Cricetulus griseus: one gene and its partners. The protein of the gene in region 2 purifies or fractionates together with the protein of the main gene of each other region. This does not show direct contact. Links are inferred from orthologs where the notes say so. Each region holds a gene or a part of one and is shown on either strand. Other genes may lie near its edges.

What was found.
Region 1: the proteins of Psma7 (region 2) and Psmg3 purify together in Homo sapiens (affinity purification with mass spectrometry; 3 studies listed by BioGRID and IntAct, with this or other methods). This does not show direct contact. The link is inferred for Cricetulus griseus from reciprocal best matches to the Homo sapiens genes PSMA7 and PSMG3.
Region 3: the proteins of Psma7 (region 2) and Pomp purify together in Homo sapiens (co-immunoprecipitation; 4 studies listed by BioGRID and IntAct, with this or other methods). This does not show direct contact. The link is inferred for Cricetulus griseus from reciprocal best matches to the Homo sapiens genes PSMA7 and POMP.

What each region holds. Positions count from the first base shown.
Region 1 is NC_048597.1:76,465,595-76,472,020, reverse strand, and holds Psmg3 (proteasome assembly chaperone 3), read left to right. Parts: upstream 1-2,656; 5' UTR 2,657-2,820; intron 2,821-3,172; 5' UTR 3,173-3,193; coding exon 3,194-3,409; intron 3,410-5,452; coding exon 5,453-5,605; 3' UTR 5,606-5,931; downstream 5,932-6,426. UniProt on the Homo sapiens protein: Chaperone protein which promotes assembly of the 20S proteasome. May cooperate with PSMG1-PSMG2 heterodimers to orchestrate the correct assembly of proteasomes.
Region 2 is NC_048599.1:1,891,024-1,897,449, reverse strand, and holds the start of Psma7 (proteasome subunit alpha type-7), read right to left. Parts: upstream 3,738-6,426; 5' UTR 3,643-3,737; coding exon 3,547-3,642; intron 1-3,546. Other genes in the region: calcium-responsive transactivator, read left to right, coding at 4,123-4,191.
Region 3 is NC_048597.1:83,721,581-83,728,006, forward strand, and holds the start of Pomp (proteasome maturation protein), read left to right. Parts: upstream 1-2,978; 5' UTR 2,979-3,108; coding exon 3,109-3,111; intron 3,112-4,731; coding exon 4,732-4,829; intron 4,830-6,426. UniProt on the Homo sapiens protein: Molecular chaperone essential for the assembly of standard proteasomes and immunoproteasomes. Degraded after completion of proteasome maturation. Mediates the association of 20S preproteasome with the endoplasmic reticulum.

The DNA of each region.
Region 1 (6,426 bases), on a different chromosome or scaffold from region 2:
GGAGTCATTAACTCAAGGAAGGAAGGAGTGAAATTGTTGAGAAGAATGCCTGAGCTGTCTAAGGACTTTAGTGTGTAAGCAGAAGCGTGGCTTTTTTAGGACAGTCAGCAGAATACATTGAAAAGCTTCAGAGGTGGGGTTTCCAGGGCTATCGACCTCTGGGAAAGGGTCTCAAGGCTGCGATTTCTCTTAGTATCTGCCCACAATTTTCCCAGTCAGTGAAACCTCCCGCAGGGAGACAGTGGAGCTTTCTGGTTTGGATGCAAAACTCACCCTTCCCATAAGCCTCAGTGAAGATCAGAGGTTTCAGGCATTAGCTGGGACCTGGTGAGTGTCAGTGGCCCAGGCTCAAGTATCTTCAGCAAGGGTCAGGGAATGGAGTCAGGCTTTAAGCTGAACATCAGGGAAGGTCAGGGTGGGGTCAAACCACACTTTGAACATTCTATTTTCAAAGGGGGCTCATGATGTTTCTAAGGGAGCTGTGAAGATGAAATGATCTAGGCATGCAACAACAAAGAAATGGGTAAGGAAAATAGAAGTATACACACAGTGGAGCTTCAGCCATAAAGAAGAATGGGTGGGGCTAAGAAGATGGCTGTTGGTGAAGCTCTCACCTTGCAATCACAAAAACCAAAGTTCCATTGCCAGAAGCCATATTTAAAAGCCTGGAGATCTAGTACAGCCTGTAATGCCAGCGCTGGGGAGCTGGAGATAGGCATTTCCCTGGGCTTGCTAACAGTCAGCCTAACCTAATTAGTGATCTCTAGACCAGTGAAAGACCCTACCAAGCTCAAGAAGCAAGGTGTAGCCAGGTGTGGTAGCACACACCTTTAACCCCAGCAGAGGCAGGTGAATCTCGGAGTCTGAGACCAGCCTCATCTACACAATGAGTTTCAGGCCAGCCAAGGCTACATAGTGAGATCCTGTCTCAATTGGGGGCGGGGGGAGGCAGAACAGAAAAAAGGTGGGTATACAGCTACCGAGATACAGTACCTCCTAAATTGACCTCTGACCTCCACACATATGTGCACAAAAAAAAAAAACAAAACGAGGTCAACATTCTTGAAAATAGATGAAGCTGGAGATAATCATGTTAAACAAATTAAGCCAGTCTCAGAAAGACAGATGCTGTGTTTTCTCTCATTTGTTGTTCCTAGATTTTACATAGTCACTGGGAGTGTGTGTGTGTGTGTGTGTGTGTGTGTGTGTGTGTGTGTGCGTGTTAAATTAAAGAAATTAATTTGTTTAGGAAAATGGAGAGGACTAACAGGAGGGGGGAAGGGGCAGGTAATAGGAATAAAGGGAATATGCTCAATTTTCAATCTATACTTACAAGAAAAATTGTTTTAATTTAATGGCTCAAAGTTAAGAGCACTGGCTGCTCTTGCAAATGACCAGGTTTGGTTCCCAGCACCTACATGGCAGCCCACAACTGTCTGTAACTCCAGTTCCAGGGAATCCAATGCCTTCTTCCGGCCTCGGGGGTTACTGCATTCACATGGTACACATACATTGAGGCAGGCAAAAATATTCATACAAATTTTGAAAAATGGTGTTTATTGTTTTTAATTCTGTAAGATGAGCAGTACCTAACGTAAATGAATAGATTTGTTCCTCAAAACCCAAAAGAAAAGAAGGAAGGAAATGAAAAATGAAGAGAAGGAGGAAAAACATTAAATTGTAACTTAGCTCAGCTTGAATGCTTGCACAAACTCCTGGGGCTTTTTGTTTGTTTTTGGGGGGTTTTTTTTGTTTGTTTGTTTTGTTTTTGTTTTTTTTTGTTTTTTTTTTTTTTTTTTTTTGAGACAGGGTTTTTCTTTGTAGCCCTGGCTGTCCTGGAGTTCATTCTATAGACCAGGCCACCCTCAAACTCACAGAGATCTGCCTACCTCTGCCTCCAGAGTGCTGGGATTAAAGTTGGATGTATGGCACCAACGCCAAACTCCTGGATTTTTATCTCCACACCACATAAACCATGCATAGTGGTATGTGTCTGTCATCCCAGCATGTGGAAGGTGGAAGTAGGAGAATCAGGGGTTCAAGAGCATCCTTGGCCAACCTAGGCTACTTGAGAACCTGTCTCAAAAAAAGAAGAAAATAATCCCAGAACTCTGAAGGCAAAGGCAGGCAGGTTCCTGTAAATTCGAGGCCAGTCTGGTCTACATAGTGAGTTCCCCAATAACCAGGGCTACATAAAGATACACTGTCTCGAAAAAACAAACCAACAAATAAAACTAGATGGATGGATGGATGCATGGATGATAGAGTGTGCCTTAGCCAAAGCCAGGTATACACCAAATGAGAAAAATATATATATAAACCGGGAGGTGGTGACCCATGCCTTTAATCCCAGCACTTGGGAGGCAGAAGCAGGCAAATCTCTGAGTTCCAGGCCAGCCTGGCTACACAGAGAAGCCCTGTCTCGAAAAACAACAAAAACAAACAAACAAAAAGAAATAGTAACCATTACTGCCATCCCACTCCACAGCTGAGACACAAAGCCCCGACACTGGAGTCCAAGCACCGCCCAAGGAATCTTGAAGCTCCTAGACCCAGAGGCACAGTGTCCCTTTAACAGGAAGCCTGGCGTCTCCTTTACAACACGGAACCTAAGGCTGTGGAACTGCGGAGACCCACGGACCGGACCAAGGACCGGAAGCGGAAGTTCTCGGCCCGCGCTAAGTGAAAGCGGGCTACATTGTTCATTGACATTCATGTTTGGCGCGGTTGATGCAGTGAGCGCTGTGGCTGCGGGTTTCGGACCGGCTGTAGTCAATAGTGTCCCAACCGTTCCCAGCCCTGCGCGGTCGGGGTTCCCCGGTGAGCTTGGCGTTTTCCATTCCCCCTTGTATCTACAAGCAGGCGACAGGTGGGGCAGTAATCACAGGCGGTGCGGCTGGACAAAAAAACAGAAACTAACAGAAGCCTGTCTGAACATGCGCACACTTGGTTTTGAGTTGAGGCAGGGTATTAGAATAGCGTCTCTCCCTTGTAACCAAGGCTGGCCTCGAACTTGGGGGTCCTCCAGTCTCGGCCTCCCTTGTGCTGGGATGATAGGCATGTGCCACCGCTTGCAGCTTGGAATGGCCTGCTTGGCATTTCTGCTTTGTAGCTACAGGTTATATCTGACTCTGACTGCTCCCTCCCTTTTTCCTTTTCTTTAAAATTGAAGCCTCCACTGAAGAACGGGACCATGGAAGACAAACCGTTGGTATTTTCGAAACAGAAGACAGAAGTAGTTTGCGGTGTGCCCACCCAGGTGATCTGCACGGCCTTCAGCAGCCACATTTTGGTTGTGGTGACCCAGTTCGGGAAGATGGGTACACTAGTCTCCTTGGAGCCCAGCAGCGTGGCCAATGACATCAGCAAGCCAGTGCTCACCACAAAAGTCCTCCTCGGGCAGGACGAGGTAAAGGGGTTGGGAGAACAATCTTTGCTGGCGTCATTTTTCCATAAGGACATGGGTGTCTGATAAGGACCCCTCCATACACACCCAAGGACACAGTCAGCATTCTCCAGACCTTTCAGATCTGAGGGTGCCCTGGCTGCCCCTAGTGATGCTTTTCCCATCGTGTCAGCATTTTTACTCAACACTCAGTGGAGCTATTGATTTTGTGACACAGCCATCTCCTCAGTTTGACCCGTCGTGATGGCTTTATGTTAATGAAGGCTTGATGTTTACGTCTGCTTCTTCAGTCTTGACAGCATTCCCCTTTGTATGCATGTCTATCTGGATTAGGGATAACCAGAGAGATGGTATGCAGAGGCACCAAGGGGGAAAAATCCTAATGATGCCTCGTCAGCTGTTTGTTATATCTGCGGTGTGCAGTCCACTGAGCCCTTCGAATAACTGTTGTCTTGGCTTCCCTGGAGGTGACTTAGGGAAGGTGTGGGAAGCTGGTCTGGATCCATGATGGGTGCTTAAGGAGAGCATCGGGAAACAGTGTTTGAGCTGGGTGTGGTTGTGCAGGCCTGTAATCCTCTCACTTGGTAGACTGGAGCAGAAGGGTTGCTGCAAGTTTATGATCAGACTGAGCTATGCAATGAGTTCGAGGCCAGCTGGGGATAGATCCTCCTTTCCCCCTTAAGAAAACAAAAACCAGGGCTGGAGACAAGGTTCAGCAGATAAGAGCACTGACTGTTCTTCCAAAGAACCTGGGTTTGATTCCCAGCACCCACATGGTGGCTCACAACCATCTGTAACTCCAGTCCTAGAAGATTCAGCACCTTCCTCTGTGGGTATGTATATGGTACACAGTCATATAGTCAGGCAAAACATCCATATACATAAAGACAAATAAATATATTAAAAGAAAATTGGAGGGGTGGTGGTGCACGCCTTTAATCCCAGCACTTAGGAGGCAGAGGCGGGTGGGTCTCTTCCAGTTCAAGGTCTACATAGTGAGTTCCAGGAGTTTCCAACAACAAAAGAAAAAATACAAACAAAAAACCCAAAAGCCACTTGGTACAGTGTGGTTCCAGCACTTGGGAGGTAGGAACAAGAGGACCAGGGGTTCAGTTTCTCCTTTTTTGTTGTTATTTTTTGGTTTTTTGTTTTTAGAAATAGGGTTTCTCTGTGTACCTCTGGCTGTCCTGAAACTCCCTCTGTTCCAGGCTGGTTATTACAGCTATATAAGGGCAATGTGAGCTACATGAGACCCTCTATTTAAAATGCAGGGAATGTTGAGATAACTCAGGAGTAAAGGCACTTGGCGTGCAAGCCTGTGTTCAGCTCCCTGAACCCACAGTGGAAGGAAAGAACTAACTGCCACAAGTTGTACTCTCTCATATATACACTATATATATTAAGTGGAGACTAAATAGCTCTATGTATCAGTGCACATCTTTAATCTTAACACTTAGGAGATGAAAGTAGGCCTGGTCTACATAGCAAGTTCCAGATCAACCAGGGCTATACAGTGAATTCTTGCCTCACAAATAAATAAAGGATGGATGGATGGAGTGGAGACTGAGGAAATAGCTCAATTCCTAAAGTCCTTGCAAGCATGGCCTGAGTTCGATCCTCTGAATTCACATAAAAAAGCTTGGTGGTGAGTGCCTTTGATCCTAGCACTAGGGAGGCTAAGCCAGCCTCAGAGACAGAAGGATTCTGGGGCTTGCTGGCCATGCAGTCTGGAGAATTCCAGGTCAATGAGACCTCGTCTCAAAGTAGATGATGGTGTTCTACGGCTGATACCTGGGGTTGTCTTCAGGTCTCCTCAAGCCCACACACATGCACACTCTTTTTTAAAAAAACAAACTGGATATGATAGCATATGCCTGGAATCCTAGCACTCAGGAGGCTAAGTAAGTAAGATCGCCATGAGTTCAATAACCTAAGCTATATGAATCCCAAGCTAGCCTGAGTTAAAGACAGTTGACAAACTGTCTTAAAAAAAAAAAAAAAGTGAGGTTTCCTGCAGTCATGGTCCTGTCTTCCCCCCCTCCCCAGCCTCTCATCCATGTCTTTGCGAAGAACCTGGTATCGTTTGTGTCTCAAGAAGCAGGAAACAGAGCTGTCCTCCTGGCCATGGCTGTGAAGGACAAGAGCATGGAGGGGCTGAAGGCCTTGAAGGAGGTGATCCGGACATGCCAGGTGTGGTGACCTGCAGTCAGCAGGGCATGACAGTGGGATCTGGCGGACGCTCAGCAGGATCTGTGAGACCCTTCTTTCGAGTGCCAGGACAGTCAAGTGGAGACTCATTCTCTGGCTTTAGCCCTTGAAGCTGGAAATAACATGCAGATCTCAGGGGACTCTCACTGTGTGACTGCTGTGTTCCACCTGGGGCACTGGAAACGGTTCTGGGCTGCAGCAGAGGCACCTGCTGAGTGGAAACCATCAGCCAGTTTTGGGGACTGGCAGCCCTAGGTGTGCAGCAGCACTTGTGGGGATACTTTTTTTTTTTTTTATTAAAAAAATAAAATACTTGGCTAGTCTTGTCAATAATGCTGAGACATTGTGGTCATGTGTCAAGCTTCAGGGCACCTGAGGTGGGAGGAAAACCTGTTTAGCAAAAGCACAGTACACGGTTGCTGGTGTATGAGGTAGATCCCAGGCATACAGTCAGCCAGCATTGGGTACTGTCCTCCCTATGTGGGGGCATGGGCCAGAGCCTCAAGTTACTGAATATAGTGAGGGACATGCATGTGCAGAGACCAGATGTGTGGCAAGCAGAACAAGGGTGACCATGCAGGTGGATTCCCTAAGGATAGCTGGATGGCAAATCCATGGGGAGTGTGGGAGGCCAAAGAGTGATCCTGAGCTCAGAGAGGAGGGGTTCTGTATGGAGTTGGGGTCCCCCCTTTACAAATATTTCCAAGGCTCACTGCAAGGGTTGGGGAACCAGTATCAGGCCTTGACATTAGACTGGCATTTTTGCCTAGAGTTGGTTCCTCTGAAGAGTGGCATCCTGGGGCCTCCTGCCA
Region 2 (6,426 bases):
AAACACTACAACGGTCACAGCTGTAACACAGCTAAACAGTCCTGCACAAGACCCCAAGGCCTAATAAACCACTGCATCAGATAGATGCTGGAAAACTGAACTCCAATTGGCCCCAGGCTACCACCACGCCTGCTCACACTACACATACTGCTGGTAGGTCCTAGTGTGTTACAAAGTGAGCCACTACCCATTAATTTAACACACCAGTCCCTGATTATGCTGGGTATTGTAGAAGGGGGTGGGGGGGGAGTGGCCGCTGTTTAAACAAATGAAATTGGGCTGTGGATGTAGATGGTGCTTGCCTAGCATCCAAACTCAAACCAAACCAAACACAATAAACCCAGGACCTACCTCATTGATATTTAACCCTTTAGCAAGGGAGGAACAGAAGCAGATGCAGCAATTCCTGAACAAGGCAGTTGGGCACAGAGGGCACAACTAGTTGGCAGCTCACTCTGATGTGGGCAGCACCCCCCCCCCCACCAATGCAGGAACCTTTGGTGATCCTACCAAGGGAGATCCTACCAAGGGAGAAGCTATGTCTGAACCACCCCTGGTCTGGAGTGATTTTTACAAGGTCCTTCTGTGCTGACTCATGTGACCTGCAGGGTCCAGAGAAATTAGCTGGGTGTAACAGGCACCTCCAGATTCCAGAGCTTTCCTATGGTTGTGTATGGTTATGTCCCTTAGCATACGGAGGCCAGAGGTTCATAACGGTGTCTTCCTCCATTTCTTCTCCAACTTCAAAAGTGGTTTAAGTGTGTGTGTGTGTGTGTGTGTGTGTGTGCGCGCGCGCGCGCGCGCATGCTCTCGAACCTGCCCATGGAAGTCAGTGATGCTGAACTCCCGGGAGCTAGAATTCAAGGCAGTTTTGACCTTACAACCTGGGCGCTGAAAACTTATCTCGGTCCTCTGCTTGCACCCTTTTAGCTGCTGCAACGTCTCTCCAGCCCCTCCAAACTTAACGTTTTTCGAGACCCTGAACCTGAACTCAGATTGTGCTACACTTGCTGACCAGCAAGCCAATAGCACCCCTCCAGTCTCTGCCTCCTAAGAGCTGGGATGCCATTGTGTGAAGCTGCTTTTAAGAAAATAAAAACAAAGCCGGGCATTGGTGGCGCACGCCTTTAATCCCAGCACTCGGGAGGCAGAGGCAGGTGGATTTCTGTGAGTTCGAGGCCAGCCTGGTCTCCAGAGCAAGTGCCAGGTCAGGCTCCAAAGCTACACAGAGAAACCCTGTCTCGGAAAAACCAAAAAAACATAACAAAAAAAAAGTGGGTAGGTGGATGTTTCGGAATATTTGTTTATGCTGTAAAGAAGTGTCTTTGCCTAAGGCGTTGGCGTTTTCTAATGACTTTAATAAAGAGCTAAATGGCCAATAGCTAGGCAGGAGAGAACAGGAGAGACTTCTGGGCAGAGAGAGAGACTGGAAGAAGGAATCTAGGCACACATGATTTTGTGCAGTACTAAGAGGCAACTGAGCCACGTGGCAGAATGTAGACTAAAAAAATTATATGGGTTAATTAAGTTATGAGAGCTACCTGCGAACAAGCCTAAGATAAGGCCAAGCTTTCATTATTAACAAGTCTCCATGTCCTTTGTGGGCCAGCAATCCCAACTAGAAAGTACTGCTACATTTGTGGGGCACCAAATGATGTCTTTCCATCAGCTTAGGGGTTGGCACATGAATCTACAGGTATTTTAATTATTGTCTACAGCCCCACTGCCCACATTATGCACCCCATTGGCCACACCTCACAGGGCTTCTGCTCCTGCACCCTGGCTCTGTTACAGTCACCATATGTAGGTTTAAATTAAGTTTCCAGTCGGGTGTTGGTGGCCCACGCCTTTAATCCCAGCACTCGGGAGACAGAGGCAGGCGTTTCTCTGTGAGTTCGAGACCAGCCTGGTCTACAAGAGCTAGTTCCAGGACAGCCTCCAAAGCCACAGAGAAACCCTGTCTCAAAAAAGAAAACAAAAAAACAAAAAAAAACAAACAAACAAAAAATGCAACACATAGATTAAGTTTCTATTTATGTATCTATTTATAGGCTGGGATGAAAACCTGCTAGCTCAGGGAGGCTGAGGCACAACTAACTGACCTTGCTTTATGGCAGGATACACCTCAAGAGGGGCATATCTTCCCTCCTCCCAGAACCAAAATGAAGCTCAAACTCTAGTTCTGGCTTTCCCCTTTCCTTACTGTATGTCTTCTGTATCGAAATTGCTTGCTTCTCTATGGCTGGCTCTACCCCCTGATTCAAAGTAAACTTTATCGACAGTCTAGAGTGTCACAGTGTGACCAGGTCTTGATGCTTGTAAGAGCAAGCCCTTCACCAACTTAGTCGTCTCACCAGCCTCACAAGTTTTTGTTGTTGTTCTTTGTTTGTTTTTCCCTGAGACAGGGTTTCTTTGTAGCTTTGGAGCCTATCCAGGAACTCGCTCTGTAGACCACGGTGGTCTCAAAATCACAGAGATCCTCCTGTCTCTGCCTCCAGAACGCTGGGATTAAAGGTGTGCACCACCACTGCACAGCTGTCTCTTGGGGCTGGAGAGAGGGCTCAGGTTTAAGAGGACCCGGGTTCAATTGCCAGCACCAACAAGGCAGTTCCAGTATCTATCCAGTTCCAAGGGATGTGACACCCTCACACAGACATACATGTAGGCACAAACGCCAATGCACATAAAGAGGAGTCAATAACTCATACATACATACATACATACATACATACATACATACATACATACATACATAGAGATTCTCTTCTAGAAGCCCAGGCTGGCTTTGAATTTGAGATTTTCGGGTCTCAACCTTCCCAATGCCGGGATTACAGGCCTGGGCCTCCAAGCCTGCTCACTCTAGTTTTTTGGGGGTGGGTTAAGTCACCAAAAGATTTGGGACTTTACTTTCAAAGCGATTAAATACTCGGGAAATGCAAGCGCTTCGAGTCTCAGAACCACGTGTCTTTCCCAAAGACCCAGTGACTCAGGAAAAAGAAAAACGCAGAACTCTCTCACTGCTGACGCTTGCAGGTGTCGGGCGGTCCCATTTCCAAATGGCGCTAAGGTCCCCGAGCAAATCCCGGGACGCGGCGAGAGGCCCACCGGAACCAGAATACAGCGTCGGTGGAGCAGGCGAACCCGGAAGCAGTCGGTCCCCGTCGCAGGGCCGCCCTTTGTTCACCAACGCCCGTCTGGCCTAGCCGGGAGGTCCCCAAGTCCCCGCCGGCGCCGACTCTCAGCCCCCCACCTCCCGCGCGCACCTGCGGCCTCCGTCGTCCGCGCCGCGCCGCGCCAACAGCACCAAGATGGCCCCGGCCGGGCGCGCGATGCGCTCCCCGTGACGCTCTGCAGCGGGCAAGCCGGCTCTCCAGGGAGCATGGCGCAGTCCCCGCGGCCCGGCTTCCTTCCTAGGTCGCCACCCTTCGGCTCCCGTCACCTCCCGGGCCACCCGCCGCAAGCAGAACGCGGGGGCCCCGCTCCCGGGTCTGCGAGCCCTGCTTCCCCGTGCGCCCTGCCGCGCAGGCCCCGCTCGGGCCGGCTCACCGCAGTGGAGCCCTTCTTGACCGCCTCCTGCGCGTACTCCACTTGGAAGAGGTGGCCGTCGGGCGAGAAGACGGTGATGGCGCGGTCGTAGCTCATCCCGGCGGACGCGCGAGCTAGGGCCGCCGCCGCCGCCGCTCAAAAGCGCACACTCACCGCTTGCGCCCGCCCGCCGGCCGTCTCGGGCCACGCTGCTGGCGTCCGCGGCGTCTGGCGTCAGGGGGACGTGCGGCGCGGCGGGGCGGGGCGCGCGGGCGGAGCGGGCAGGGGCGGGGCGCGGCGGGGCGGGCGCAACCACCGAAGCCCGGCACAGGGGCGGCGCGGCGGCGGCCGGCTGGACGCAGAGCGCAGGCGGCACAGCGGCGGACTCGGCGCGGGGTCCAGTCCCGGAAGGCGGTGGCTTAAGGCGCAGGGACGCGGGAGGCCCGGGCGCGCGTCGGCGGCAGGCGGGCGGGCGAGCCCACGGCACGGCATCCCCCGCGCCCCCGCCCCCGCGCTGCGGAGAATGGGCACCTCGGGCCGCGGGGCGCAGCCGGAGAATAAACCCGAATGATCACGGGCTGAGTCCGCGCCGCCACCATGTCCGTGGCCTTCGCGTCGGCGCGGCCGAGAGGCAAAGGGGAGGTCACACAGCAGACCATCCAGAAGGTGGGCAGGGCCGCGGGGGTGCGGAGCGAGGGTGCGCGCGGGGCGCGAACAAAGCCAGGGCACAGCCGGGCCGCAGGAGCCCTGACGGCGGCCCCGCGCGCCCCCAGGAGAGCCTGCGCCAACTTTGCCGGAGGCGCCGGCAGCGGGGGCCCGGCGGCCGCAGGGGGTGGCCACCCCGGAGCGCGTCGCGCGGTGTCCTCTGAGAGCGCCCCTGTCAGCCGACGCAGCAGTGCGGGACGCCGGGGCCCGCGGCCCCTCCAGCCGGGGCGGGGGCTGGTCGCGCTCCGCTGACAGCCCTGGTGGCGTCGGTCGCGCGCCTCTGCGCGCAGCTTGGCGAATGGAGAAGGGGGCGCGGGCTGCCTGGTGGCGCGCCGCTGCGGCGAGCTGACCGGTGTCGTAGGTATTGCGGTCCCCGGCACAAAGGGACGCATCCAAAGTGTGCGTGCCTTCCCCACGGCCCGCAGCGGGCTCCCGAGCTCGCTGCAGGCGGGTGGACCTGAGGCCAGCGCAGCCCCGCCCCCGCGCGGGTCACTGGGCATCGGCGGGCCCCGCTGCCTGCACCCAGACTTCGGAGATTTCGTCCTGCAGTCTCGGTCCCATCCTTTATTCGGGCTACTGTTTTCCAAAGAAGGCGTTTGCATGGGTTTGGGGACATATTTAACAAAAGCTTTAAGTTTTGACATGAACACTTTAGCATTTTACTGGTTGTCTTTCGGTCTGAACATCTTTCCTACGCTCTGGCTTTTCTCAGTTCGGGTTCCTTCTACAGAATTTCCGAATTCCCTTGAGCCGGTTAGGTCCCCAAGGGCCTTGGCATTTTAGGCCCTCATAACCTGAGGGGCTTGTGGGTATTTACTCAGCTTGTCACCTGTTTCCCAGCTCACCCTTGCTGTATTCCGCCTCTTTGGAATATAATGATTGTCGAAATCAGCAAGCTTTGGTGAGCTTTGGGCAGGAGAGATTATTGGAGCAGAGCAGAAATTCGGATTTTCCAGTGTGGTTTTTGTATTAACCTTTTGAGAGCTGTGGGATGCGATGGTGTTTCTAGGCTTGATAGCTCTTGTCACATTTAACTTTTTTGAGGTGACTTGGGGAAGGAAACTGAGGCTGCAGAGGCTCAGTGGTAGAGGGAGTCGCAGCAGCAGCTCGTCCATGATCGCTCCAGGGGCTGCTGTCCCTGCGGCCATGGGTTGGGAGCCTTGTTTGATGGAGGGTGAAGCACAGTACACACATTGGAAGGCCCGACAGTGCCCTAGCCCTCTGGCTGCTGGAGCTTCACAGTCACCGTTCTCAGAGCCACCTTTGGCTTCGTTGCTTGTCCAGAATTTTGTAGTCACACCTGCTCATCGAAGAGCCTCAGTTTCTCCAGGCTAAAGTGTGTTGGAGATCCACCCCAAACATCAGATCACCAAGAGGGGAAATTTGCTGGCCTCAGTCTGGGGCAGAAACAGCCTGTACGTCTTCAATTCATCCTGTTAAGGTACTTGACCTGGTAGATCCAGCAGTCCACTTACTGCCTCTGTGGGTCCTTTAGTGTAGAGTCTTAAGTAGGCTTGAGGGGAGTGTGTCTTATACTTCACACATGTACTTTGACCTAGTTTGGTGATGTACCCCTGGGATCACATTCCAGAGCGAAGACTGGAAAGTTTAAGGACAGCCTGAAGCTACATGGCAAGTTCAAGGGTAGCCCAAGCTGTAAAGCAAGACCCTGTATCAAGCCAAGGGCAGACCTCTGGCCTAGTATTCCCCAAACCCTAAACTCCACCCCGAGTGTGCATGCATACTCCGTGCACAGTCATTGTGTGCTAACCTGCCCATGCTAAGATCACTGGGGAAGGCCAGGGTGCCTGAGAGCTCTGGGGGAGGGTGAAAGCAAAGGAAGGAACAGTGTGTTCTCAGAGTGACAAGTCCTGCTCAACCTTCAAAGTCCCACACAAATGTCCCCTCCTAATCTTCTCTCATCAGTCACAAGGCCACTGTAGGACTTTGAGGTATTGTCTGTGGCATGTGAGTTAGCATGTGACTGAGATAGTCACTGCTGGTCCCTAGTTTCGCATGGGACTTGGTTGCAGCTAGTGTACCCCACATACAGTAGAATGTGTCATAGCCTGAAGCTACCTAAGCTTCATTCTGCCTAAGCCAATGTTAGTGCCCCACAATTTCCCTAGATAGCAGTCTTCATTCACTCACCCTGTCTAGCTGTGAAGGAGTGGCTGCCTTCCGTCCATCCGTCCA
Region 3 (6,426 bases), on a different chromosome or scaffold from region 2:
GTCATTCTGCCAAAGACCTGCTTTTCAGGGGTTCAGGTCCCAAAGAGGTTGTGTGGAGTCAATGGGTGGGGGGCTGAGGAGAAGGAGCAGAGGGACAATCTGAGGGTGAATCAGATGGCTGCCAGCATCGATTGATTGAAAAAATTCTCCACCTTTTATTGCACATAGGATTAAATGGGCGAAAAGGGGCATTCAAGCTGGGGTGTGGTTTAAGATCAAGGATCCAGGAAGTTAGCATTGACCTTGACAATAGGCACCAGCCATAAGTTCCTCTTGTTAAAGACATGAACGGCAGCTTTACAAGCAGGAACTTTCCTCAAGCCCCCAGGGAATGGAGACCCTTATCCAAAAGCCTGACTTTGGAAAAGGACTTCTTCTGGGGAGCAGACACCAGACTACAGTTTCCTAGTCTTACTTTATGGGTCTGTTCCCCTCATGCACTCCCAAAAGGGAAGGTCCTGGTGTCTTACTCTTTTCTGTTATACCATACCATTTTGGTTTCTCTGTATTTATTAACTCTTGCCCTTAATGGCCCCAGGCTCTGGATCTGAAGTGTAGGCATTTCATCCTTGGGTTCAGGTAAACCTCTAACTTTCCTGTTCTTGGTGTAATTAGGAAGACACAATAGGACTCTGGTTTCACAGTGGTGGGGACTTTTTCCCAAAGAATTATTTTGTTTAGAGAGGCTACCATTGTACACATTTTTATTCTTTAACAAAGCCTGCACAAAATTTCCCAAAGGAAAAGGCATAAAATATTGTGAATCATTAGAAACGAAAGTAAAAAGGGTGCTGGATAAGTGTGGTCCGCAATGTTGAAATGCTGGAACAATATCAAGCAGCAATGGTCACCATGTGGTTCATGACATCATTCATTTCTCCTGCCCTAAAACTGTAGCTGAAGAAAAAATTGAGGGCACCATGACCCATGACTGTAATTCCAGATTCAGGAGACAGAGACAGGAGGACTAAGAGTGTACACTTAACACTCAGATACACAGTGAGCTTGTGGGCAACTGAAACCTTGTCTCAAAAACATAGTCATTTAATATTTGTTGACCACACACACTGAGTGATATAAATTCAAGCCTAATATTTGCTGAGCATTTTTTCTTTCAGTACTAGAGAATGAAACTATAAGGATAAAAGGAATTTCCTTATACATAAGATGCTAGAATTTTCCTGGGGGCACAGACATGTAAATACAGATCTTTAAAAAATATTTATTTATTATGTATACAGTATTCTGCCAGCATGAATGCCTACATGCCAGAAAAGGGCACCAGATCTTATCACTGATGGTTGTGAGTCCCCATGCAGTTGCTGGGAATTGAACTCAAGATCTCTGAAAGAGCTGCCAGCGCTCTTAATCTCTGAGCCATCGATCCAGTTCCATAAACAGATATACATGCAGTGATCTTAAATGCAGTGTAGTGTAGAGAATACTTAATAACGAGCTCATAGGATCAAAGCAATACTGGCATTGTGATGGTCAGCCTGTTTAAAATTGATCTTTATGTATGCATATGTGTCTGTGTACATGAGTGCAGTGCCTGAAGAGGGCATGAAATCCCTGGGAACTAGAGTTACAGGCGGCTGTGAGCCACTGACCTGGGTGATGGGAAATGAACCTGGGTCTTCTGGAAGTGCAACAAATGCTCATAACTACAAAGCCCACCCAGGCCTACATTGGTTAATTTTGATTGCCAACTTGAGAGGATTTAATCACCTAACAATGGTTCTCAATATGGGGATCTCAACCCCACTGGGGAAGTCACATATCAGATATCTACAGTACAATTCATAACAGTAGCAAAAAATGCAGTTATGAAGAAGTAACAAACTAATTTTATGATGGGGGTCACCACAACATGAGGAACTGTATTAAAGGGTCGAAGTGTTAGGAAGGTTGAGAACCACTGACCTAGGAGACACAGTCTGGGCACATCTGTGAGGTCATCTCCACCGTTTAATTAAAAATTATGTACCCAGAATTGGAGAGCCACCATCTCTTGGGCTCCAGTCCCAGGTGAAAGCAAGAGAACAACAGTGTTCCTCTCTCTATCAAAGTGACCAGCTGTCTCATTGTTCCCCCAAAAGAGACCTGCTCTAGCCTTGTCCTCCATGCTGCACTGGCCTCTCAAAATGTGAGCCAAGGGTCATGGAAGGATGGCTCAATGGTTAACAGCACCTGTTGCTCTCACGGAGGGCTTGTTTCCGTTCCCAGCGCCCACAGGGTGACTCACAACCATCTGTCTGAAACTCTACTTCCAGGAGATTCCCAGACTTGTGTTGGCAGATACCTCTAGACCTCGTAAAGGAGCGTGAGGGCACCGGGCACACACATACAGTCAAACAAAACACATTTTAAGAAATTACTAAGTTTAATGGAAAGATTTAGGGAAATGACTCACGTGCAGCATCACTGACTTAAATTGCTACACACTTACACCCATTTTATTGAAAAAAGGATTTAGTCTCAAGGAGCCCCCAAATCTTTGTCATCTTCTCTGTGCACCCACATGGACTAAATATTAAATATCTCTTTTCTGCCTTCCGCTTTCAATTGGCTTACTGAGGACGGATGGCCCGACCTGACTAGGGACAAAGGTTATGACCTCCCCCAAGTTCAATAACACCCACATCCCCCAATCCCCGGAGTCCTCCTTCGGCTGTAGTTCAGTAACCAAGCTCGCTCCTTCCTTTGGGTTCCACATGCACCAAGCCTCGAATCTTCGACTTATAAAGATGTAAAAGCCTCTTGTCCGAGTTTTGCGTCGTCAGCAGAACTTTATGCAAATCTCGCCCTAGACCTCCTGGCATGGCCCGTGGGAAGTCTAAGCATCTGCACACGCCTATCTAAAACCGTCCACGCGAGTCCAGGCCCAGCACACACCCTGGCGGTGCCCTTGTCCCTCGCTCCCCCGGGATCGCAAGCGTGGGAGCCCAGGCACAGAGAGACTCCCTACCCCTCCCACGCCCTCTTTCCTTCCTGGCCGGACGGACGCACTTCCGGCGGATATGGGTGGGTCGGCCCCGGAAACGGAAGTGAGCAGCTTGGCCGGCCGACTATAGCGGGCTGAGAGGCTTTCGCAGAGCTGTTTCCAAGATGGTGAGTGAACGCGAGCGACCGTGATCGCGGCGTGTGTCCGTGGCGCGGGCACGACCACGGCTGCGCGGTCCCGGCGGGTATCTGGTTCGAGGATGAGCCTGGCTGCGCGCTCCCGAAGGGTGTCCGGCGTGGGCATGACGCCGGCTGCGCGCTCTCGGGTAGTGCTGGTTCCCGCAGGACCGCGCGCTTCGGTCCCCGGGGCAACCCAGGCCTGCGCGTCCCTTCCCGGTAGTTGGCGCGGACGCCCAGTGCACCTCAGAAAGCCGAGCCTTGTGTGGGTGTTGGGATACCGCCACTCTCCCGCTCCCTCGGGTGACTGGAGTCTACAGCCCCAAGCTCTGGCCACGACCGCAGGCTTGCATTTATACAATTCAGTCTCGGTTTACAAACATCTCTCTCCCTGCGCCATGTGTTGCTCCCGGTTTGTCTGCATGGGTTAGTGCTGGGACTCCCTCTCTCCCCCTTCTGGCCTTTCCTCCTTTGCCACTTTCTGTTTCTCTTTGAGCAGAACTCCTGAGTCACCATGGCACGGACCTGATACAAGCACTCCTTGCAGCCCCATCTGCCCACATCCAGAAAGCTTGTGTTGGCAAATACCGCGAACCATTGTAAAGGAGTGTGAGAAACACTCCGAAATGAGGATGGTTTTAGGTCTTTGTGGACTTAATTTAACTGACACTGGACTAGAACCTTAAGGAGTCCAGATATTTTACAGAAGGACATTGCAAAGATGGTTACCCACTGGCTTGCATTTTTCTGTACCCGAGAAGATAGGGATGTTACACATAGGGTGACCGTATCAGTTCCAGAGGCTGCTTTTAAACTTTTTACAGGGGTCTCCCTCCCTCCCTCCCTCCCTCCCTCCCTCCCTCCCTCCCTCTCTCTCTCTCTCTCTCTCTCCTCTTCTCCTCCTCCTCTCTCGGTTTTTCCAGACAGGGTTTCTCTGTGTAGCATTGGAGTCTGTAGACTAGGCTGGCCTTGAACTCACAAGATCCACCTGTCTCTGCCTCCTGAGTGTAAAGGCACGTGCCACCACAGTCCAGCTTTTTATGATATCTCAATTAGCTGCATTTATTTTTACTTCTGGTAACCAACCACTCCCCCTTTCTCTTGGTTCCTATAACCTCATTTCCCTAGGTGTCATGACTTAATTCCATGTCTTTTATTTTCCATAGATCTGTCCTAAAGGATTGGTGTTCCCCAGTGTTCCATTCTCAGCCTTTTTGTTGTGTTAAATCTTTCATTTCTTTGCATTAAACCTAAGGGCAGTCTCTTTCCAGTGAAGTGAATCTTATTGATCTTGCCATAAACCTTCCAAGACTTGTCAGTTTTAGGGCATCTTTGAATTTTGCCGCTTCATTAATATGTTAGTTGGTCTCAGATGGTTTTAGTTTGTTTTTGTATTCATATCTTTTTTTTTTAAATAAAATGCTTTCCCTGCAGACACATTCAGAAGTCAGAGAGGGCCAGTTCTTCTCCCCCAAGTGTGGTATTACTCACTGTACCTTGTATGCTGGCTACCACAGTACTTAGGCTCTGTCTGTGCAGATCCAGGGCTCCTTGAGGGCACAGCCCTTATCTTCTGTCTCCTTTAACTGCCATGCTGACTTTGTGTTGTAGAATGCCAGAGGCCTTGGGTCGCAGCTGAAGGACAGTATTCCAGTGACAGAGCTCTCAGCAAGCGGGCCCTTCGAGAGTCATGACCTTCTCCGGAAAGGGTATGTGGGGAGTTGTGGCTGTGCCTTGCCCTAATGAAATGCTTCTTGTGGCTTCTTTTCAAGGTCCTCTTTTTGAATTGCTATAAATGTGTGTTGGATTTGGGCTGTAGTGAGTTATACACTCAGATGGAGTGTGGTGAGGAAGAGGCCCACAGAGTAAGAGCGGGGCGTCCTCCTAGTGCACACACCTTGTAGGGTGATTGGAAGACTCTGTGGGGTTTTATAGTGAGGGGGCTAGCACTGATGGCTGAACCTAAGATGTCACATAATGGGAGGCAAGCACACTACCACTGAGATACAGGTAGCCCTAGGCCTTGATTTAGTGAGATTCTTACTGCTCATAACTCAGAGAGCCATTGACTTTCTTACTTTACTAACTGCTGGAGTAATTAACTTTTCTTTGGGAGACACTAGAGTATAGCCGTTAGGATGATCAACACTGGACCTGGCAAGTATGACTTGAGTTTGGATCCCCAACGCCCGTGTGAAAGTAAGGTCAGCCTAGCCAACTGATGATCTCTTGTCCAGAGAGAGACCCTGCCTCAGAATATAAGGTGGAGAGCAACAAAGGAAACACCAATGTTAACTTCTGATCTACATGTGCACTAACTGTGTGCACATGCACACACAAGTTTCTCTTAAGAAAGTATCGTGTATTGCCCGGTGTTGGTGGCTCATACCTTTAATCCCAGCACTCGGGAGGCAGAGGCAGGTGGATCTCTGTGAGTTTGAGGCAGCCTGATCTACAGAGTGAGTTCCTGGATAGCCTCCAAAGCAATACAGAGAAACCCTGTCTCAAAAAACCAAAAAAAAAAGTAAAAAAAAGTATGGTGTTCACCAAGGAAACAAGCCTTCTATACACAGCAGGACTGATGCAACATAAGAACTCCCAGAGACTGGCAATATGCACAGAGCATGCATGGGGGCCCAGTGCTAAGACAAGTAGACAAACCCCATCCCTAACTTGGAAGCTATCTCCAGTTAATAACCTCTCACAGAGGAAAAAGGAGTTTTCTTCTGTGGAGTAGGAGTGTATACAGACCACACTTAACCACACAAAGTTATGACTTCGGAGGGTTTTTTGTTTGTTTGTTTGCTTCTTAATGCTTTGTCTGGGCGTTTTTTTTTTTTAAACCTTACAGGCCTTTTGCTTATATATTATGATTTCTGGTTTTTATGGGATTTCTGTGTGTGCAAATGTGTGTGTCACTGTGTCTGTATGTAGACCTTACGCTTTTTCTTTGGCTCTTTTTTTTCTGTTTTTTGTCCAATTCTGGTTTGTTTGTTTTAATGTGTTTATTATTATTAGTTACCTATTTGTTTTCTTACATTTTTGGTTGTGAGCCTAGCCTTTAACGGTTGAACCATCTCTCTAGCCCTGTCTGTTTGTTTTCTAATGAGAAAAAAAAAAGAAAGGGTGTGGATTTGGGTGGGTAGGGAGGTGATGGGGGCCTGGGAGAAATTAGGGGAGGGGAAATGGTGATCAGAATATATTGTATGAAATAAGTCTATTGTCAACAAATATAAGAAAAGGGGGAGAGAAAGGAAGGATGCTGTGCTGCACTGCTTAGTTTTGGTTCCAGCTCTGCTGTCCCCT